2 linked regions of the Styela clava genome follow. The protein of the gene in region 1 interacts with the protein of each later gene in a pairwise test. Links are inferred from orthologs where the notes say so. Each region holds a gene or a part of one and is shown on either strand. Other genes may lie near its edges.

Evidence for each region.
Region 2: the proteins of BTB/POZ domain-containing protein KCTD9-like (region 1) and protein N-terminal glutamine amidohydrolase-like interact in binary tests that used the Homo sapiens proteins (3 or more experiments, as listed by UniProt). The link is inferred for Styela clava from reciprocal best matches to the Homo sapiens genes KCTD9 and NTAQ1.

Annotation. Positions count from the first base shown.
Region 1 is NC_135251.1:23,490,072-23,502,225, forward strand, and holds the start of BTB/POZ domain-containing protein KCTD9-like, read right to left. Parts: upstream 4,799-12,154; 5' UTR 4,668-4,798; coding exon 4,620-4,667; intron 3,581-4,619; coding exon 3,459-3,580; intron 2,574-3,458; coding exon 2,521-2,573; intron 2,013-2,520; coding exon 1,937-2,012; intron 788-1,936; coding exon 729-787; intron 1-728. Other genes in the region: uncharacterized protein LOC120336169, read right to left, coding at 11,980-12,154. UniProt on the Homo sapiens protein: Substrate-specific adapter of a BCR (BTB-CUL3-RBX1) E3 ubiquitin-protein ligase complex, which mediates the ubiquitination of target proteins, leading to their degradation by the proteasome.
Region 2 is NC_135262.1:9,683,510-9,696,104, reverse strand, and holds the start of protein N-terminal glutamine amidohydrolase-like, read right to left. Parts: upstream 6,440-12,595; 5' UTR 6,290-6,439; coding exon 6,231-6,289; intron 5,762-6,230; coding exon 5,570-5,761; intron 4,877-5,569; coding exon 4,718-4,876; intron 4,193-4,717; coding exon 4,012-4,192; 3' UTR 2,702-4,011; intron 2,557-2,701; 3' UTR 2,402-2,556; intron 2,337-2,401; 3' UTR 2,191-2,336; intron 1,956-2,190; 3' UTR 1-1,955. Other genes in the region: NADPH:adrenodoxin oxidoreductase, mitochondrial-like, read right to left, coding at 6,576-8,030; very long chain fatty acid elongase 4-like, read right to left, coding at 10,884-11,042, 11,553-11,680, 12,380-12,551. UniProt on the Homo sapiens protein: Mediates the side-chain deamidation of N-terminal glutamine residues to glutamate, an important step in N-end rule pathway of protein degradation.

The sequences.
Region 1 (12,154 bases):
CTGAAATATTCAACGAGTTGCATAACTCCAACCTAGCAATCATACATACAGCCTCGATGATGCGGACAGCAATGACAATTATACATTCGGGACTTGTTAAAAGAAAATAGTACTTATTCATAAACAGCTTGCTACATTCACCTATATATTGGACAGGATGTATTATGATAACATGATATGACACATATTTCAGAGTGTGACAGAATGTACCGTATACAGAACAAGGAACTTCCTTGCTCTTAAAATAGTAATTTGGTAGTACCCCGAGTTTGGTAAAAAAATCTAGGTTGATCATTTTATTTTTGATATGACCAGAAACATGCTGCAAACAAAATGAATCCAGTATATGTACATCAGCTCAACATGGACATATGTCTTGTAATACAAATTCCTCATATGATTAATATTTTTATATTAGGTTTCTATAACTCTTTTCAGTGCTGAATGACAACTAAAGATATATTCAACTAACAAAAATTAGATAATATCACAATTACACTGCAAACTGTCTCATATAACATTTTTACAGGCCTTTCACCCGGTGATATGTGAGGAGGTACTACGTTTTGAAAGGACCAGAATCTTTCTGGTTTGGCAATACCAACAGTCTGAATCATTAATCTTTAGCATTTTCAATATAGAATTACACTTCATAGACATCCCATGTTCATCTCAACTTTTATTAAAAGAATATTTTTATGATATCTACTATCTATCTAGCTACTCACTTTCATCTCGGAACATCTTTGCCAGCATGCTTTCTGGTTCCATTGCTACTAATGTACTCCTAAAATAAAAACAAAGAAATCACAAAATTACTTATATCTATCTACACATTACATCAATTGAAATATTATATCGCTATATACTCAGCAAAATAGAAGCGAAACAATACAGCACTTGAGATAATGTACAGGGGATAGTGTATTTTGAAAAAACATGTGAATAAATAAGTTGACGTTACTTCTACAAAGACTGGGCTGTTGATTATGATATAGATATCATAAATGGAATGAATATTCATCGCAAATTGATTAATTTTTAACATGGTAACGCATTAATGAGTTAGTCATAACCTATCACCAAGTTATACCTGCTTTTTGATAAGAATACCAAAAATTTTTATTTCTAACATTTTTGCCTGTATATCCAAAGATGTAGATGTGATGAAATTGATACATTTATTATTATGCATTTTCTAATACCAAACTCTACTTTATCGAAATAGATATAGAATTGCCACTTATTCCAATAAGTTTCTGTTGATACTGGGAAAATTTCTGTTCGAATTCCATACATGCTATTTGTATATAGCGTCCTGCGCAGCGGTGTGGCTCATTGTGCTAAGCGTTAGAAATACGCTCGCCACCGCACCTCTGATTACTCTTCGTGGGTTCGCAAGTTGGAATCTCACGCAAGGATATTTATATGCAAGAGAATGCTGGCCTCTTCGCTACCATAGGGTGGTTCACGTAACCGCTTATCGGGTTACCTCTTCCCCAGGATGAATATGTAAATCCTATCCTATCCTGTTTATATAATTAGGACGCTTGAGTGTAGCCAGTTAAAAAAGTCAGATGTCATGTTTAATCAAGGTTGACATTGTGAAATAACAAAATCCCCACTTCACAATACCATTATAGTTACAATATTTGATCAATAATTAAATAAAATAGAAATATACAAATGAGATGTTATCACTTGAGTTTGGTTGAAACAAATTTAGGTTTCAGGTACACAATTCATTGAAAATCCTTCCAATAAAGCACAATCATCCAGGTTGACTTTTTGTGACTTTTTGTGAAAATCTGTGGTAAAATTGCTGTTTTTTCTCTGAAATTTGCCACTTTCACAGTAAACCCCCGATAGCAAATTATATATCAATGAAATACCTATTCTTAATTGTGAGAAACTATTAAAACAGATAAATATCAACCTTGTTGTACAGAATTTCTTCCCACCAACGTTGAGACTAATCCAGTCACTCTGATTATCGGGGTTTTGTGAGTGCTCTAAAATGTAAATAAAAATTACAAATTTGGCCAGCGATGCCTCACAAAGAAAATAGGTAAAAATATAAAATTGAAACAAATGAAGAAATGCGATTAGAGTAGAAAGTTTGACAATAATATAATGACTTGGTACTTTCAACATGAAATGAATTAGAAGAAAATTATATCAAACCTTTCAGCACATTTGCATTTTCAAGTTCTAGATCAATGCTACAACTTACATGAAATAATAAATAAATAAGCAAATAATAAAAAAAGAACATTCATTGCAATTTTGGGATTTTATTACATTTCCGAAACAATGTATAACAAGAAATTAGAATAAACAATACATAATATATTATAGAATTAAACTGAATAATAACAAAAAATTGGAGACTACTTTATGAACAGAAATCAATTTATCACAGTATTTCCGAGGTCATAAAAAATATGAATAAAAATAAATCCAGCCAATCAATCTTGTCAGTAAACTTTGATAATAAAAAATAAATACTACTCATACTACCTTGTTCTGAAACTTTTTCAGTAGGCTTGAATATATACAGTGGCTCATTATCTCTGTGATAAGAATAAATATGTTGGAGGCGTATCGGACCAAAAAATTTGAAGGCATAGTAAGACATAAATTTTGGTGAAATAAAAACTGAAATCTTACTATTATATTTTATAGCAAAATCAACAAAAACTAAATTCATACAATTTGTTTTGCAGCCATATCCTCTTATTACAGTGGGAGATGATTAGTAACAAACCTTTAGGAGTTAATTTTGACTTCAAACTTAGTTTATTCAAATGAATCATACACTCTAGGCTACTATAGCCTTAGGTCTACTGTCATATGTCACCTACCCTGGTTGAGGTAAGAAATAAATATGATTCCTTAGAAATGAAAAATGCTGTAGTAAACTTCATGTAATAGTAGCACAGAGTATATAGTTTAAACCAGTGATTCTTTATATTTTTACTTTGCGGACCAGTAAAATTTTAAAAATAATTTTGCGGACTTGTGAACTTTCAAAATCAATCTAAAATGTCAAAATCTAAAAACAGGATAAAATGAATGTAATTACAACAAAAGTATGCAATTCAAAAGCAGACAATTCAATTTAATTCAAAATTTGCTGCTATCTTTTTGATATCCTATACAGTTCTAATGTTCCACAAGGCAAAGTAGAGCAGTGACTTCCACATGATCACTCTGTCTATTCTATCAAATATCGCTAAACTATGCTGTCAAATTACAGAACGTACAAGCTTCTCAATCAGTATAAAATTTACCAAAGCATGTATTCTGTGCTCATGAACTCCTTCTTTATGATGTTCGCAGTTATAACGTCATAGACTCATGGAAACATCCAGTTGTTCAGGGTTTGAAATGAACGCAGGACCTCTGACCAAGTTTCGTTTATGCATGGAGTTGCAACCGTCAAGCTTTAAGCTTACCTTATCAGATTCACATCATCCAGTTCAGCACCTTCTCCTGTGTATAGAGTACTGATGGAAACACCAAACACTTTACATATTGATGAATATAATTCTTCTATTCTTCTAGGAACTGCAAAAACCTTTGAAAAGAAGATTTTCATTACAACTTCCCAATGACTTAAATTTTCTGTGTCAAAAACAAAACCTTGATGCAACTTTTAAGTATTTGATTTTACAATGCTTATGAAGCTGTAAAGTGAGTGAAATATGTGAAATAGATTTTGGGGATAGGATAGTATATACATATTTATCCCGGGGAAGAGGAAAACCGATAAGCCGGCCTAATCATATGGCGAACCACGGCCTCTCGTCCGGTTACCAGTCCAGTTCGGGTATAGGATTAGTTAGCCAGTCATTTGTTTTCGGAAGCATGGACTTGATGGTGGAGGAAGCCGTAACCGACCAGCGGTTACGTGAACCACCCTACGGCGGCGAGGAGTTCAGCAATCCTCTCGCACATGATCATCCCTGCATGGGATTCAAACCTGCGATCCCACAAAGGGCAATCAGTGATGCGGTGGCGAGCCTATTCCTAACGCTTAGCACGATGCGCCACACAGCCGAGACTTGTGTTGTTTTGTCCCACAATTACTTCTAGTGGGCTTGGCATGTCGGTTCTTAGATATGTTATTCCCCCCCCCCCCTTCCTGAACGGATCATCCAAAAATTATGTCACTACCAGACTACGGCGTCACTGCCCAAAATGGCAACTGCGCCGACGTTAAAGAACTGACTAACGTCAGCGATCTCTCTCGTATTGAGATCGTTGCAACAAGAAAACGAGGGAAATAGCTTTTCGATTTCGGATGCTCGTCTGCGCGTCTTGGATCACAGTTTGCATAGTTTGAAGGGCTCTATTACGTCACTGTCACGTCGTAGTGATGTAATTTTTGAATGGCGCGGCCAGGTGGAGGTTATGATTAACATATGCAAAAATTGTTATGCTACGCCCACTACAGCACTAGAAGTACTTTAGTTACGAAACTACACTAAAACCCATCATTCTATTCACTTAGCTTAAATCAGTGGATAGAAATTATTACTATACCGGTGTTACAGTATTAGATAGTCTATTTTTAATATTTCATAAGCTAGATAACGTACACAGGAAAAACCTACCTTCCCGTGTTTTCCAGTTTCGTCTTCAAATACTTGCACCCTCTTCATTTTAGCAGGTGTCTATATATTCTACTCCCTGGCTCGAAAAAAACAGAAAAATGAATGCAATAATCAAGGAATAGGCTATGACAAAACACAACAAAAAGCAAGGAAGACCTTGTCAAGTGTAAATGTGGGGTTTCCCCGCCATTGACATGAAATGTTTATTTATTGCAGCAGTCACTAGGTGGAACTGAAAGTCAAAGAGTCAGTCAGTTAGTATTTTGGGAGTAAAGACAATTTGGAAACATGTACAGAATACAAAGGGAAAAGTTAAATAAATCGAAAAAATAATTTTGAGAACAATGAATGATTTAGCGAAAAAAATCCACAGCAAAGGCACTTTGGGAACATCATGTACAAAATACAAAGAGAGAAGTTGATAGCCTCAAAAAAATTACTTTGAGATTAATAAATGAATTACCGAAAATAAAGTCACAGCAAAATTATTTTGCTCAAATGTATGATGAAACATATATTAGAGAAGGATTTTGAGAAAACGGAAATTAAGATGGGTCTCTATATTAGAGATGCACCGATACCACTTTTGTCGCCGATACCGATACCGATCCGATACCAGCTAAAAACGCCGATACCGATACCGATACGCCGATACTACAAAAAGGCCGATATTACCGATATTCCGATACCGATACTATGTAAATATTACTTGATTAGGTGTGTTGTGTAGAGCAGACGGGTTAAAACAATGGTCTCTGAGCGTTGTTCATAGTACACAATATTTCAGATCGAAAAAAAAGATATATATGTCGCATAATATGAAATTAATGATTGGTATCCATATGCTTTAACTGATTAAGATACATTGTATAGTAACGCTAGTAATCTCGGTGTTCAATTGAAACTCATAAGCCGGGATGTCCAATATGAATTTAATGTTAATATCGCGACCTTCAAAAATCGTTATTCGTGTTTAAAAGAATATCGAATATCACCCACACATTCTAGAGCCGCCGTCCTAAGATCAAATTAAAAGCATTTTTCAAATATTTCATTTCGTCGCTAATCGTAATCGTCGACGCAATAAGTAAGTCAAAGCCAACATGAAAGAATATCAATCAGCACCGACCAAAAGAAGGCCTACCTATAACCGTCGAGGACATTTTTTTACTTTACTATTTTATAATATTATACAATTGCTATCATATATTTTGTTATAGTCTAGGGCTAGGCGGTCATGTCAATATATCTATATATACCTGCGTAGAGGGATAATTGTGTCGGAATTTAGTTTATTGATGTCGACGGACTGAATGACACTCGTACTTGACGACAAACAGTCAAAATTTATACCCGTGCCAAAAGTCCATGTGCCGTTAATAAGGACCCCAATTCCACTGTATGATTTAAAACTGGGCGTCTAATTGCTTTTTGTTATGTGCCGTGTTGATATATTTCTTCATAATTACTATGTAATATTAAAAATTTCAATATAAAAATTTGACAGCGAAAATAGCCAAATTAGTTGAGCTAATTTGGCTGATAAAAATACACGTGAATCCTATTCTCTCGCGGGGGTGGCGACATGTATGGCTCATAGCTCACGATCTCTCCAGACAAAAAATAAATTAAAAAGTAGTATTCCAACTTATCTTTAAAACATTCTGGACCATATCAAAAAGGTAAATATATCGGAAATATCGGCCTTAATCTCACCGATACCGATACATGGCCGATACCGTAAAAATGGCCGATATTGCCGATACCGATACCCGATACCGATACATCGGTACATCTCTACTCTATATGCGGTGTTTTCTATAGTATTCTATTATTTCTATATGCTTTTATGCTACATAGTGGCGTTATTTGTCAACACGTGGGGTTATCAGATGAATAGATAACAACCGTATAACAACCTTTATACTTTAGTGTTTGACTTATTTTATGGGTGCCGCTGCTCGATAACCAGTATTGGTTTCTCGCGTCTCCTTCACCCTGAAATATGGCCTATTTATAATTTAATTTATCGCAATTTGTATGTTTGTGCCTATTTCAAGTATGATGAGAAATAAACTACTGATTATTGATTACTGTATAGTATTGAATCGTAGTAGTATACATTTACGATTGAATGCATTCACTACATATATTGAGTAGGCCTATCCCCTCAGATGTCCCCTTCTATGCAATCCACTTTCTAATTACATTTGAACTTGAGTAGAGACAGAGGAAGATTTATTTGTTGGTCAATTAAAATAAAATAACAGTCATCGTAACAAAACATTGTACGTACATATATCGCCTTATTTTTTCAGTGACAGAAGACAGAGTGCGCCTAAGCATTCTCCTCGAACGCAAGACAACGATGGTCATGTTTTTCAGAAAACTTTGATAAGGGATACCATGATAATCGAAGTAGAGGTGTCTGGTAAAAACCTATTTCAAAGCAGCTGATCTTCTCGTCACAAGCATTTCAAACAGTCGCGATAATACCGATTGAATAGAATTTTGTCGAAATCTTTAGGTGCGTCTGAAAACACGTCGCGATGTTGAATCTTTTATCACTCTTTTCGAAGTGATAACTAGTATCCCCACGCAACCCATGCAAAGGTACTCTACTGGGCAGGCTTTGGTAAATCTTGTCGACTGTTCGCTTAACTAATGTTCGTAATGTTCGATTAACACGAAGTGGCGCGGCGGTGTGGCTCATCGTGCTAAGCGTTAGGAATACGCTCGCCGCCGCACCTCTGATTACTCTGCGTGGGTTCGCAGGTTCGAATCCCAAGCGGGGATGGTTATGTGCGAGAAGATTGCTGGACTCCTCGCCGCCGTATGGTGGTTGGTTAGTTACAGCTTCCTCTAACACAGTGGTTCTTAAACTTTTTGAGCCGCGCCCCGCTTTAAAAAAATTTACAAACTTCGCGCCCCCCCCCCTATTTTTGCTTTGAAAAAATGCTCTTGTGATAGGCAGGTTGCTATATATTAAGATGGCGCTATAACTGAGTGTTGGTCTCATAGCGTCATTGCTCAGATTGTTTCGGCATAAAACGCTTCGGAGTACAACTTCACCATTCACTGTCGTATGTATAAAGCCAAATAGTGGTTGGTCGTCATACATTCTCGTTTTTCCGCTCAGTTTGCAATACTTGGCAAAGTCGAACTAATTATTAAGTAAAACTAAACAAGCAAACTCTTTGTGCGTGCTGCACACCAGTAGTGTTCTAAAACTACAGACTTGATATAAATTTTACTCCGTGGGATCGCAGACTTAGGAATATCTGTAACGATGATATCTTGAAATTAATCGAGTGGCGGCATTGCGATAGAGCGGATCAAGAGTTGCAGGGACAGCTCATATTGGTGAAATTGGCAAGAATACAAATCAAAACAAAATGTAATCGACATTTTTATGGTTGTGGATTACCGTGTTATTTTGGAGTACTGGTGCTTTTATTTTATCGACGCAATCGCAAATTTAATTTATCACAATTAAATGAAAAAAGCAACCATTTTAAATGAGTATATCAATTCAATCATGAATTGAATATTTTATTCAACAGAAAAACCATTACATATCCGTTGAAAAAGTCGGCTCTTTTAATGACTGGCGTAATCTCGTGGACTGACTCAGAAGCCGTACCGCGGGGATTTCGTTTCGATGAATATGTATATTTCATCTACTAATATACTTTACATGTATTTTAATTGTACTAAATTAAATATACTTTCTGGGATATTATACCAGATCTTTCTAATGACGACAACGAATTTGCATGAGTGCAATATATATAAAAACTAAATATAATCGGGCAGTTGATCACACTTTATTATGTCCGCGGATTGGCGTGGTATTTTAGATAGGTAATGAGTTTATTTTGTCGTGAGTCGCCGCAACCGTGAGTTACTTTGAACACAAATGAATTAAAATAGAGAGACATTTTGAATTATTGTAGTTATTACGAAACAGAAAAATTTATTATAACACGAAAAAGCTGGTATTTTTAACGAACGCGGAGACCGTTTCAGGAGCCGTTACATGTAAATTTCCGATTCCATCTTGTGCGCGCGCCCCAGTTTAAGGAACCACTGCTCTAACATCAAGTTCATGCTTCCGAAAACAAATAACTAACTAATCCCATACCCGACATGGAATGGTAACCGGGCGAGAGGTCGTGGTTCCTCTTCCCCGGGATAAATATGTAAATCCCATCCTATCCTAGTCATCAGCAATTGTTTTTGTCAGCCTGTATTTGTCTGTATAAATCGGTTGAAAGTTACGAAAAGAAACGGAATCAATATTAATGCAATGTTATGACCCTTACTTTCGATTTGAAGGAGAAAATGGTGCAAACTAGACATTAAACGATCAAAATTGGCATGGAGAAAATGTCATCTGATTCATCTGTCAACCGAAAAGATTTTCTCATCGGGAGATTGATAATTAATTATCGTTGATTAGTTTGTGTCACTAATTACTGTTCGCGGGAAGCCAACATAGCGCTGTACATCGCTCAAACAGTCTTCGAGGTGCGTGATGGCATGTGTGTTAATTCGTCGCAAACTATGGCTACGGGACGATATCGCTAATTTCGAACGGCATTCAGGTGAGCAAAATGTACCTGATTACTAATATTTTACTGTTCTTGTATTATTTTGTCTTTTTAATTGTATAAATTGGGGGGTTCCGAGCCAATAAGAATTAAAATTTGTAACCTAATAATTGGATCAATGAATATATATTACATTTATGCTTTGTGAAACTATCTTGTACTACTATATCTGTATTGTTTGTCATCAATTAATTTGTTAATTTTGTGAGTTGTAATGATTATCTCATCTCCATTTCAAGTTTGATATAAATTCAATCAAACCCTGACTGGTTGCATTCTTTTATCTGATTTGGTATATCTCTGATATACAGTAATGTTTTCGTTTTCGCAACAAATTCAAATGTACTAAAATTTGAACGGTGACAAATATTCAGTGACAATATTAGTTTTATGTATCGATGCTATCGTTATTGATGAAGACCCATTTCGTTGCCTAAAATAGTTACAACTTATTTAAACTAAAAATGAAGAATTTTCCCGTAATAAACTGTCTCTACAATAGGTTATGCCTTTTGCCAATTTTTGCATAATCGCGCTCCGTGCTTCCTATGTTTTCAATTTATTTGGCACTAAAAATTAAACATTTCCATGTAGTATATACCCGTGTGTCTATTCAATTTTTGAAAACCACGATGATTGGTAACAGTAACTATTGATGTAATTATAGAATTTATGTTGCAGATCGCCCTCCATAGTTTAGTGACAATACATTTTGTGATAACATTATTGCTAAAATATAATTTATAATGCACGCTATTTTTAATGTTTATTATTGAAATTGTAAAAATGTTTTATTTTCCCATCGAATGTGCTATATTTATATTTTTATGCATTCTTTGATATACACTCTACTATATATGGGCATAGGGCGTTTCAGAATTTTCTGGAGCGCGACAGGACCCCATCGACAAAGGCTAACGAGTGGATAAATCGACACCTCCTTCTGGGTCCACGTGGAAGCTCGGTAAAATATTTAGATAAAAGGTTGTATATAAACTCCAATTTGCCAATGTAACGTATTCAAAGTGATTAATCATATGGATGCCATTTGGGGGCCCGAGGCACTTAGGACCTTGCCTATATATTTATTTAACAGCTATTAAAAAGCGCCAGTCGTTAAATTTTTAAATAGCATTTCACCGTAACTTCAATAATCTTTGCAAAAAGCGTCAGTATTTGCCATAACGTCAATACTGTTGAGAAGATATGATTGCATTCGATTGTTTCATTAATGAGACAGCAAAAAAGCTCTTGGCATATCCTACTTGAATTAAATTATTTCTAAAAGCATTTTGGTGCTATAATATAATCCATGCCTCACTAAATTTCCGATCCAGTGTGATTTCAGTCGTTTGAAAGTGTATGTTTGGAATTAATTTCATCTACACATTTGAAATTTCGTATCGTTTTCAAACATCACAGAAGATTAATTTAAGTGTTTGTATAGATAATCTTGGAGTCAAATCAGCTAATATAGACTTTTTTAGAAGTATAAAACATCATAGCTTGTTTTTCACCGGACATAATTGCGTTAAATGGCCCCAAACTATTTCTCAATGACTAACCAGTTTTATTATAATTTATCTCTGTTGCACGCGTGATCAGCACATTTTTCCCCGTTTAATTATCCTATTGGATCGTATCGTATTGTACTGCGATTGTAAGCTGGAAGCTGATAATGAAGACATTCTCTCGTTAAGTGTCTTACAAAGTTTTGAGGGATTGGGCATTCGAGGCGCTGCTGTTGTATTCGTCGTTTAACGACAGACGATAAGCTATCTTCCACCACACTAACAATAACAAGTAGAAATATATACTTTTTAACCCTAAATGTTAGTAAGTGAAACAATCTTATTGTTTTCAAATATTGCAAGTTGCTTGAATAATTTCATCTCGCTATCATTTTTTAGCGACAAATACCTCACGATTCAAAGAAACATATTTTTATTAGTTCCAAGGTTTATCACAACTGGTAAAATCTTCACCACTCATCTCCAAATCAAAAGAATTTAGAATAAATTGCTTCAGGATTTTTACAAGAACTATAATAGTGATAGCAGCTGTAGGCTACTATAATTATCCTTGACTGACAACTCTCTATCGTTTCCGAAAGCGACATTATGAGTTTTCCGCAAAACGATCTGCAATGTCTGACCAACATGGGCAATCCCACAAATAAGCTGAATATCACACTGTCCAAGTACCTTTAATTTCAAATATTTATTTATACGATATGCAATGATCAGAAACTTTATAATATGGCTTCCTTCCTTAGTCAAAAAACGCTCTAATATCTTCAGTTTGACGATTACTAAACTTTTGACTATCGTCAGAAATAACACATCTTAAAAATATGAACATAGAAAATATCAAATAGAGAAAACAAAGTATACTACAGCGCGTTGAAGCAAAAATAATAAAACTATACAGATTACTTAAAAAAGCTTTTGGCGGCAGCACAACTTAGATCAAAGTGCTGTCAACCTACGTCGATTCAAAATACGCATATTCGATTACCTATTTATACAGCTATCTTTTGTACATTTTAAGTGGCATTGTCGAAATTCTAATACACTGTATCATAATGTTCATTGCGATGTATTCTTTATGTAAAGATGTAAAACTTAGCATGTAAAACTTAGCACAATAGCATGTAGTGAATAAGTCAGAGTACTTTAAAATATTAGAATTACCGCCACGGAATTACCGAATTTCTCGTTATTTTCGGGCAACTTTAATATTCACATCTACAATCTATCTTGGTGGAGCCTTTTCAAATCCAATTTTTTACCCATATGTACGGGTGGCAGTACCAGTGGGGGCAATATAAAATGAACAGTCTCGTTTGGATCTGCGTCTCGTGTTGGTGGTCTTGATGGAATCTCTTGTATATTTGGAATAGAGGGCAATTTTGATCCTGTA
Region 2 (12,595 bases), on another chromosome or scaffold:
AAACAAAGATATTCGAAGGAGCGATAGTTTTAATTCTAATTCAAGTGTAAGGCTATGTGTATTGGACGCTAATTGGTCCGATTATATGCTTTGCCAGTGGAAATTTAGATTGACTTTAGATCAGTCGTTCTCAATTGGCGGCGGATGCCCCACAAGAAGGGTGTAAACAATTTTTTGAGGAGGCTTAAAGCTAATTAAAAATAAAAATATGTTAGATTTGATCTTGTCCTTCTTTTTTGGATATTTACAATCCATCCTTGTATTTTCAACGCATTTTTTTGAATAAAACATACTTTCCTACTATCTGGTATTCGTAGCTTATTGTTAGCTAGTTTTTTGGGGGGTAGGGCAAGAGACTTAATAAATTCTAAAAACGGGGCATGGCTTGAAAAATTTGAAAACCACTACTTTAGGATTGACGTTTAGGAATTGTGACAAAACTGAATGAGACGAAAAATATATAAAAGTGAAACAGACACTACATTTCAGTGTGAAAAAGAAAAGGCTTCAATAGAAAATAAAACAAATACCTCTGATTGGAATAAGAAATTGTGTATAATGAAAGAAACCGTTCATAAGTTTTACAAAAAACTTGTGTATATTGATAATTGTTTGGGTGAGAATTATCATTAAAGAGTAGATTTAAAACATGATAATAAAAGGCTTATAAATCTTGACTATAAATTTAAGATTTTCGACTGAATTAGTATTTTTTCTAAAGGATTCTAGATTGTTTTAATGAATTCTCATAGTAGTTGATTTTGAGCAATAAACTTAAATTTGTAATTTTTATCTTTAAAATCAGAAGTTTTAACATACGAGTCCAAAGTAATAGTACCCGATAATTATAGATGAGCTTTGGATAATTTTACAATCTGATATTCTTTAAAAAATCGAATTTTTTTTAGTTGAAGTCGCGCTTGAAAAATATCCAAAAGTTATGTACCATGGAGTAAAATTTTGTGTAATCAAACTAAATTTAGCATTTTTAATCAAACCTAAAGCAATAACTTTGAGGCAAAGGTACAATTGTCTCATTGAAAAGAATTCTAGATTATCAAGTTTTAAATGATTTGGTACAGATTTAAATACTAACGACTTTTGGATCAGTAAAAACTAGCATAAATATCGTGTGCCAATCACAGAAAAAAAAAACATTCAAAACAATCAAAACAAGACAAAACAAGAAATTTGAATGTGAAATAAGTAAAAGCTTTAATAGAAAGCAGACACAGAACAATAAATACCAAATTCAAACAGGGCAAAACATTGTGTATACAAAAAAAAATTGTACAATAAAAGATGGATAAATTAATTTTAAGGTAGCACAGTATATAAATCAGAGGTGGCGAATCTGTTGGAAGCGGATGTTGTGATTTTGACAGAATTTTGTCATAGATAGTGTAATTTTGTGAAAAACACCGGTTTTTGAAGGTTTATACCAGATGTTCTTATCATGCTAGGGCTTTCATGAAAAACAGTATTAAAGCAAGTACAGTGATACCTCGATATTTGACCAATCTGCTACCTAGCGGATCATAAATATCGATAATCAAACTTTGTTCGTATAATTTAAATTCAACAGGGTCGCAGATTCCGTAACTCTGATTTCATCATTATAATTCTGTTCAGCTCTTTTATTTATCCCGCAAAATTTCGCACTGATCCGTTTCGGGTTGAAAATTCGGGAACGTACATGACCCGCAAATAACGGAATACAGAACATCGAGCTTAGTATCTGTAAAACAATAATAAACACGCCCCATGGCAGATAAGTTGACTCGTCTTTCGAGCCGATGTCTTTGTTCTAAGCGTAGTAACTCGGAGGGTTGAGGAACATGTCCACGAAGCTTGCAATCAGTATAACGACCATAATAATTGGGCAGGTATATCCCCATGATATTTTCCAATACAATCCAGATTTGATTGAATCATTCTCTCTGTCATTTTCGGAGCTGGAAAAAAATAAGTGGACTGTTTATATTTTTACAATAATGTCACGGTAAGTCCTATGCAACTAGGCATCCTTGCATCATGAATAATAGAAAATCAGAAATATTCCCTAGAACGTTTGTGTCAAATAAAAGTTTGGCCTGCGGTTTCGCCCAGTTTTTTGTATATCCCCCTCCTGTATTAATAACAGTTGCCACCCCTGGCTTAAAAATCTCGTTTCAAATATAAAGCACTCACTTCTCTAGTTTGAGGACCCAAGCAACTGCAATTGTTTCGAAGAGTGCGACAGAAACAAGTCCAAATGTAGTTGAGTATTATGTCGAATATGCCGAGGAAGTAACTCTCAGATCTCATCGTGAAGATTAAACCGATTACAAACATGCCTGAAAATGAGGATAAGTAATTATAATTTGTCTTTTCAATTAGCGAGTTGTTTTTAAAACTTTACCTAAACAATGCTATGCACAAAATGCCTCCCGGTGTCGCATACAGTGTGTTCAGCTTTCCATTGTCGCATGTTTTCGTAAACCAGTGAGACGACCAGACGTGCAGCTCTGGCACCTTTGCATATGCTGGTGCAACTTTTTCAATCAAGTTTGTTGGCTGTAATGAAATTTTTGAATAGTTTAAAAAGATCGATTTCCTGACATCACAATTTAAATTGTCTTGCAACACAGCAGCTCTTTTATCACCGAAGTTCGCAAAACGTACATAACATATAGAATCTATTTGTAGCCCAAATCCTTACCTTGGAGTTGCTCAATCAATAGATCATCATTTCAGCGGATGTACAGGCAATCATTTACAATATCAATGATATTTCTCCAGCAATTGTACGAGGTTTTTTAAATTTGGAAATTCGATTTGCAACTAAATAGGATGCCAACGGAGCCTTTGAAATGATTAAATTTGTTCAATTTTTTGAGCATAGAAGCTCCGTGGTTTTTGATGCAACTAGGGATGCGATGTTACAAAATGTCGTTAAATCGCAATGCTGCCACTCCGATTATTTTAAAGATAAACCGTTCGAAAAATCCGTGGATCTGCTGTAAAATCTCACGGAGTAAAATTTATTTCAGCACAGTAAAAATTGATTGAATATATTTTAGATTAATTATCTTATATATAATCACAACCCAGGAAAAAGTCGCGTTTCTAACTTTGTATAATATTAACAATAAAATTTTCGACGACAATTTAAAGTAATGGATAAAAAGGGTAAATCCCGCTCACAATTAACCGTGTTTCGATTCTAGTGACGATATGTTTTTAAACGCCGGCCACAGTGTGCGATTTTCAATGCGTAGCAAAGCGTTTTTAGACTGTCGCGGACCCCAACAAAACTTATTATTGTTCATGGTTTTATGTTCAGTATTTTATATTGCCGCTTTTCAATCGAAAAAAAATTGCACCGCGGATTCACTCCTTCATTTGTCTTTAGAACCTCGCCGCCAATGAACGTATAATAACTCTCGTCAGATTCACAATTCCGTGCGAGTACAAAAATGGATTATTTATCATCGTAAACGTGGCGCAATATGTGGAAAATTTGTTATTTAGAGAGAATAAAGCCCAACGTAAAGGCGTTTACGGTCTAAACAACACTTCACCACCCCACTCAATAATATTCAGAGCCAGTGGTGAAAGATCTATATCAAATTTCTATAGTTAACGAAAGGGTTGGATATTACTATCTTGATAAAAAAAAATCGGAATATTATAGAACGATCAGCATTTTGGGATAAAGTTATTTCCTTTATATATATGTACATATGTTTAAGCTGTATTATCGACTTTCTTCTCCACGGGATGAATATGTGAATATTTTTTTAGTTTTAGGCAGTCGCATTGTGTTCTCAGGATTGACAAATCTGATCAACGCTCTCACCGCCTCAGGCAAACCACTCTTGTGTTATCAGAGTTTCATGTGAGTGACTGGGGAACCACCTATTACCAGCAATTTCATCTCTGGTTCAGGTGATCAAGGTCATCATAATGGATTGACCAGGACTCGTCTTCAACTAACCGACAGTGAGTAAAACATACTCAATAACTGACTCAACCCTTCAACATATATTTATTAATAAACTCTTCCAATGTTTGCACTGTTCCAAACTGTTCGCTTGATTTTGTCATGCTGATAAAACTCTGCAAGTTGTTGGTCGATGAAGAAGAGCTAATAGGAGGATAATCAGGAGGAGGGGACGTCCATTCTCCATCTTCAGTGAGCATATGAGTTCTGCAGAGCAAAATTAGATATACATAACGTGTTTAAACCAAAATGCTATATGTAACCAGTGCAGGATTCCAAAGCCATAACAGATTTTTTAAATGATTAGGTTATCCTTCTCGCTCCTTGGGATCTTTTCCGTTACAGCCTTTGCAATGACACAAAACTTTGGTGAGATTGTTATTATGCCTAAGCATAAAGATGCATTGCTATATGGACATTGAACCAACGTAGCTTGTGATAAGGTGGAATCACTCTTAATTTGTTAAAAGTTCTTGTATTCTGGGTCAAGCACATGATTTGATGACCAAATATTAGTCCCAAACACAAGAACTTTTTGGAGAAAGATGCTGATTACCCTGTTAGGGCGCAAAGTCCAGCAATCTTCTCGTCGCACCAAGCAATGCACAAAGACGGCGCACAACCTGAACATAGTAGTTGTACCAGGTTAGAGTTCAGGTTGTGCACCAAGAATTGGGGAGCGCCACACAGACTACATAGCAATTCCGCTATAAATATAAGTTATACTCTTACCTATCAGATGCGAAAGTTTTTAAAAACTCAGTTGCAGGAACAACTCTCAACAACCTTTCGAATTGTGGTTTGAGCTTCATATTAAAGTTAAATGCTTCAGTTGCATATTCCTCCAATGAACAAGGAAATCCCAGCATTGTGTCAAGATCATATATAAGACTACAAAACAAAAACAAAAATAAGCATATCCAGAATTGTTTTAGTTGAATATTAATTATTAACGACAGAAAGATAGATAAAATGCATCAGTGGCATGCCTAATGAATTTATCATGTTCTGTTCATTAATAGAAATATTCCAGGCCATATGACCAATACTGAACTAACATATATCACTTGTATAAAAAATACTAAACTGCTTCATGGTTTCCCTATTTAGATAGACCCAAATAATATGTTAATGATTAATATATCAGTTACGGTACATAATCTCATGTTACGCAATGTTTCTAACAATTTTCCACCTTATGTAATGTTTACAAAAATTACAATGCATATCTGGCGTGATTGTTTGGATTTATAATTGTTAATAATCTGCAAATGGAATGCCATTACAGTACTATGCAAAATTCATCAGAATTACCACTGGCCGAATGACAATAATTTTTATTATGGGTTTTATAAATTGGAATTTTCTTATTCTGATTTTGCAGATTGTATTCTCAAATGTGCTCAATGCAAGAGGTCCCTGTTGTTTAGTAAATGATGCAGGATTCTTACAAGAGTCAGGAACATTGACACTTTAGTTCCCAAATAAACACGCTCCCTATTAATCAAATGTCAGTAGTTTTTCAAAGTATAGTGAAATTACTACGGTAATTAACATGAAGAGTCACAAGGAGTATAGAAATACCTTTCATTTTCAACAAATAAGATGACATGGTAATCCCACATCACCATTGTATCACTTCGTTTTGACGCTTTTTGTTTCCACAAAGGAATTGTGCGATAATGATTTGAAATGAATATTGCATATGAATTGGATAAGAGTTCTATCTTTCCACTATCTTCAATGTACTTGCATAGTTTCCACACATTTTCTTCACTGTGAAATTGAATTAAACAAAAGAAGTTGTTTTTGACACAATTCAATATCGGTCTATGAAACTGAATTAACTATTATTTCTATGTTGGATGAAATTTAAACAATATAACATCCTTAATCTTATATTTGGAAAACTTTTTTGTTTTATCTTAAAGTAGCTGAAAACAATATGATTTATCATGAAATGTGAATTTCAATTTCCCTATTGGCTTTGAAGAAGTACAAAATAAATATGGAATCCCATTTAAGAAAAGATTTATATGATAGCGAGGTCCAAGAAAAAAAAAAATTCTAGATAGATTAAGTTGAAAGTATACAACTTCTAGTGACTGCTTGTGACAAAGCTTTCATAACAATATGATTGTATGTATTCGGTTAATTCTGTGTCCTTCTTTATGAATTGTCCAAACACCAATTTCCTACAAATATTTTTCTATATCATGACAAATTTGAACAACATAAATATTACCAATAACATTTTGTGTACGTGCATTCATCTCTGTTTGGAAGTTCTGATGACATGTTCATGACAAGATGAGATTCTCAGGGAACGGACATTTCCCTCCTTTATTCTCGATACATACAGGTCATTTTTTGAGTCATGTCATGTATATATAGTATAAAAGACTAAAACTCTGAGAAAAAGGTACCTAGTTAAATTTCCGATCAATATACATGAAATACATATTTAGGGACTCTTCATCGATTTTTTATTGATGTAAAAACAATATGAACGGATCTATGATTGAAGACTGTTCCAACATTGTAATCAGAACAAGTTGACAAGGTTTTACAACAAAGAAAAATGTTTATGTCACAATACATCATTTGATTTAGCATTAATAATTTCAGACATTTGTTTTCCATGAACCACCTTTTCTCTTACTTTACCCAATTTTATGCCTTGATCTGTTTCATATTTATCAATAATTCTCCAATCATCCCAAGAATATGATTTTATCTGTTTTTGTACCAGAAATTCATCCAATTTTCCTTTATTTTTATCATACTTTTGTTCCCAAGTTTTCAAGTCGGTTAAAAGAGTTTTTCCGGTTATCAAACAGTCATTTAAAGTATCTGCAAGAACGCCTTTTGCACCGTTTTTACACCAACCACACGCATATAATGGAGGTGCATGGTCAACCCTGCCTCCATTGTTCATAATTTTGTCTTCAATAAAAGGAATAGTTTCTTCAATAGTCTCATTCCCATATCCAATAGCTGAAATGACCAAGCTACAATCAATATTTTCGGTCTCATTTGTGTAAGATATATCAGGCTTGAACGCATCTTCACCAGTCATAAAATTTTTCTTCAATGTTACACCACAAACTGCTCCATTTTTTTCAATAATTTGTTCAGGGGATCGCAAAAGCTTAACAACAAATTTTTGATTGGTTTCGGAGTCTGCTTTAGAATCAGAATTAGTCATTGATGTCATCAAGTGCTTCACAAGTCTTTGTGTTTTCCTCAATTTTAGGTTTTTAATTTTCAAAGCTGTTTTTACAGCATCTGTGAAACATTTTTGATCTGCTATTGTTGTCACATTCGCAATATCTGTAATTTCAGACAACTCTTTTCGAGTGCATGTCATTTGAAGTGGACCACGTCTTCCTATTAAAATAACATTTTTAATATTGCTTGTTTTCAATGCCTCATAAGATTCTGTAGTAATATCAGTGTCTTTTAATTCTTCATGTGGCTTAAGCAACATTCTTGCACAGTCCAATGCCACATTCCCGACGCCAATGATTGCTGCAGTTGAACCAGATAAATCCGGCTTTAACTGGTTGTATTGTGGAACACCATTATACCAGCCAACAAATTCTTTTGCAGAAAAGACATTGGGTAGATCCTCTCCAGGAATTCCAAGCTGTAAGAGTTTTTGTGCACCAGTGCAAAGGACCACAGCATCAGATACTTGGTGTAATTCACTTAGTGTTATATCGCTTCCAACATCAACATTCCCATAGAAAGAAAATCTAGGGTTCTCTGCAACTCTCTCATATCCATGGATGCAGTTCTTTACATCTTGATGATCAGGAGAAACCCCATATCTTATCAAACCATACGGAATAGGGCATTTTTCAATCATCTTGATTCGCAACAAGTCATGATTCTTTAATAAATATTGAGATATTCCAAACCCAGCAGGACCACTCCCAACAATGCAGATAGTAGGACCATGTGCTTGAGAAAAATGATGAAATAAAACACTACATTTTGTTGATGAAGCACGTAAAGTAAGATTTTTCAATAATACCAGCATTTAAACTATGTTAAGAATTTCTGCTTCAATTTTGAATTATAGTCAAATATGCTATAAATTTTACAATTTACTACCAATATTTACTGTGAAACAAAACATACTATTTCAAATCCAATTGCCAGAATCACAGAGTGACGAACAAAAAGATTGTAGCACATGACTCAAGCCTGGGCGGGCAGAGGTCATCTAGCGAAATGGTTGGAAGTTCTAAACTGCGATTGAAGTAAGCAATTATTTTCTGCTTACTATATAAATTTCGATGGCTGTTCTTTACTTAATCATTGAGCACAGTATTAAATTGCAGGAACTACAGTTTGAATTGGATTTGAATGATATTTATTAATTAAAAAATGAAGTCATTTTTATTTCTAGTCAAACCAATGCATGTAATTTTTTGACTTTTCTTTCAATCTGTATGCTCAGTCCACTTTCTTCTTGCATCAAAGATAACAATACATCGTTATACATTCCTGGGTTTTCCTTCAGAAAATGGCATATTGTTAAGGCTTTGTGTTCTGCAGTATCTACTGGTTTCCCCTCAAATGCAAATGGGAACTTTTCTTTCAAATACAACAGCTCAACTTCTTTAGACAAGCTTTTGATCATGTGTAGAAGTTTTCTGGTGACCAAAGCAGTATTTTCATTATCCATTATGAACAGATCATCTACTACTGTTTAAATAGATATTGTGTAAACTAACTTAAATCATCATAATGAGGAAATAACTGTAAAACAATTTGAAACAAAAAAATTTGAAACATTTTATTATGTACAAGTATTTTGAAAACAAACCTTCAAGGCAATAAATTCAAATTCTGTTCCTAAAAACAAAGTTTAATATGAAACATTTGTAACATTTTTACAAGAAAATCTACAAAATAACAGTTAATCATATATTATAAAATTGTATCAAATCTTGCTCAAAAAACAGTGGTATATCAACTTAGGAGGCATTTATTTGAAAACTCAGCCAAGTCAAGTTTCATGTCACATAAAGAAAGGAAGCAATATAAGAATGTCTTTGAATTTCAATAACATTACAACCTGATATTCATGGTAATAGTAGTAAATTTTATGGTAGCCAAGAGCCAAAAATTCAGTCGATATGGTTGGCGAGCTCATTTTAACTAACTAAAATCTTATAAAATAAATCACATGTCAACAACATTACAACCAGTCAAAAGAGAAGCATTGCTTTTGGAATGGAAATATATACTTGAAAATGAAAAAAAAAAACTACCGGTATTCAAATTTTGCCATTCAGGGTGTAAATTTTATTTCTTTTCCGATTGAGACTGAATACCCCCATTATGGGATCAAGTTGAAGCAAAAAAAAACTGTAATACAAAAGTAACACTATGGATTCTTACGTCCAGGAATTTTACTTCTATATCATAAATTAGTTTTGTTAGTTTCAATTCAGTTTATTTTTCACTCCAAAAATCATATTGTTTGTATAATAAAAATCAACTGGATTTAAAATACTATTCGATTTACATCTCTTTCATATACTCTCAAAATCATTACGTTTGTTAGTTTGAATGGCATGTTTAGAGCCATTTCAAATTTACTGTAAGCAGTTATATTATATTTGTATAGTGTCCAACTTATAAAACACATTTACCATTATTAATAACATTCAAACCGGTACAGGACTAGTGTGAAAAAACCTATATTTTAATTTTTAATATTCGATCCAGCGGAATTAAACAAAAATTTACAACTAGAAACACTTTTTTATGGTAATGGAATGAAATCTCGAATTCTGACTACATATTGATATGGGTAAAAAGGGTAAATATGACCATACAAAAGAGAAAATGGAATTTGGCTCAAAATATAACAGTAGAAGTACAAACTGCATATTTTTCACATTCAAAATATAAAGAGTACCGGTACTTATGGCATACAGGTATTTTATTTTGATAACCAAATAGTTGCACACATGAAATATATGAATATATAAACTTGCTATTTTATGAAGGAATGTACTTTTTAAGTATTTGCTCTAGTTTAGTAACAGAATAAGTGTTAATTTCGCTGATAATTTTAGCTATACTTGCTATTATATATTTATATATACATACATACATGATATTCTGAATTTTGTCTTCTAATTTTATACAAGAACTTAATGGAGATATTTTTATTTATTCAAATTGATAAAATTGGCATTTGCTATATTATATTATCATGCTTAGCACCATTATTTGGAAGACTAAAGTTTAAAAGATTGATTACTATACACCTGTGAGATTACAGTAAGTTTTCTGCATATTTTAGTTTAGAAAAAATAACTTTTGCTATTTAAAATGAAAACCTGTCTCAGATTATTTTGGAGATAGCTGAAGGAGGCAGATTAAATAGGATTTGAAATGAATAAGACTGGAACACAGCAAATTTAAATTTTTTTTTAATCACAAAATGAAACTACCCGTAGGTAATAACCTACATATCATTCATTTGTAAAATTTAGTTGAAATCAAAATTTGGCAATCAGTATTCCACTGAATTGATTTTAATCAATTATAAAAAATATATTGTTACATTAGATATAATTGTTAAAACACTTTACCAGAGTTTTGGTCCAATTTTGTAAAAGTAAGTAATTTAATAATATAACACTGTAAATTATCATATGCAAACAGTAGAAGCCTAAACAACAAATTAAAACACTGGTAATAATTTTCAGTATGAATAATACAAAATCCAATGTAATCAAACAATAGCCTACCACAGAAATTAGAATAACACAGGGGTTCGAAAATGAAGATTTTGATAATTTCCTACAATTTGAATAATACAGTTCAATATTTTCTGGAATTGTAATTTGGTTCTCTAAAATAATTAGAATCAATCTTTTTTCCTTCGATAACTATCGAAGTAAAATTTTCCAAATAATAAGATGAGTGTGACTTGATATCCGACAACAAGACCACTAATCCACTTCGGAAAATCACAGTCGCCAAGAAGTATATTTGCACTATGCACTAGCATGATGAAGAATTGGATCTGGAATGATAAAGCATGGCGATAGATAAAATGAGAAAAGGATAAGTAAAATGTAATAATTTAATATTGTACATTGCTATTTATTTAAATAATTCAAATAATGTGCCGACAAATTTAAGATTACTTAACCATATGAAAATAAATATTTCTAAATATCCAAAGCCAAACTTACACCAACAATATCACAATATAAGGACCTCCTGAAGTATGCGCACCAAGATGGCGCACAACCTGAACTCAGGTTGTGTACCAGGTTAGGGTTCAGGTTGTGCCATATCTTGGTGCGCATACTTAAGGAGTACTCAATATAGATTTATTAATTCAAAAAATATTATCTGCCACATAACACATTATTAAATAATCTAAAATATTTAATTTTCACATACCATTCCTGAATTTAAAAGCTTCCTAATATATTATTTACGAACTTGAATTGTTGGAGCACTATTCTACAACAAATCTTCATTCGGTTAACAAAATTACTAATATCATCTAATTCTAATACAATACCAATTGTAATTTTGTGAGATATTTCTTCCACCAGAGATATTTCTGCATATGAGGTCCAATGGCTGCTATTCCATAGTATGAATACATTATAACATGGATAAATGAATTGATAACACCGATGAGGAAAGCTGAAAATAAAGTGAATAATACAAATAACAAGAATAGTTCAAATGAGGGTTAAAAATCAAGGTATCCAACACAAGTCTCCCAAATTGAAATTACCACCTTGATCATCACTCTGACGATCTTCTAGATAAGGGGTTCTCAAACTCTTGATGTTATGGATCTCCAAAATAAATTTATAAAAATGAAAACAAACACATTGTTACTTACAGATTGAAGTTCATGAGTAAATTAAAATTACTTTATTTAATGACTGGGATGAACCTGATGCGATGTATTTACAAAATATTCAAATTACGGTTGTCAAATTTAAATAATGCCGTTACTGCTTCTTTGGACAGTTACAAAATTAGTCAGTATTTTTAAAGTGAATCAATACCTATCGGAGCCCCCAGGTTTTTTTCACAGAATCCGGAGCCTGTCCAAAGAAGCAATAACAACGAATGCATCGGCGTCATTAAATAAAGTAACATCAATTCAATCGGGAACATTAATTGAGTAGAAATTTATTTGTTTGCTTTTATTTTATGAATTTATTGTGAGGCTCCGCAAATGAACGTCAACCGCCTCATAGGCTCCATAACACCAAAAGAAGGACTCCTGCTCTAGATAAAGATGATTTTTTTCACTGGGATACTATTTGGATATCAACATTGAAGAAAAAAAAAATGAAAGATGATAAAAAAGGTATTAATTTAACTTACAATTTCCACCAGCTACATATTTAATAGCTAGCCACCAGTTTATCAGCATAGTTGCATGATGATAAACATGCAGAAATGAAACTTGATTAAATTTTTTTCTCAATATGAAGAAGATAGTGTCTGCAAGCTCTATGTACTTTGAGAAAAAATACCACCAGCATACTTTGGCCATCTGAAACAAAATTAATAATAATCATCGAAATTATATGTTCTGAT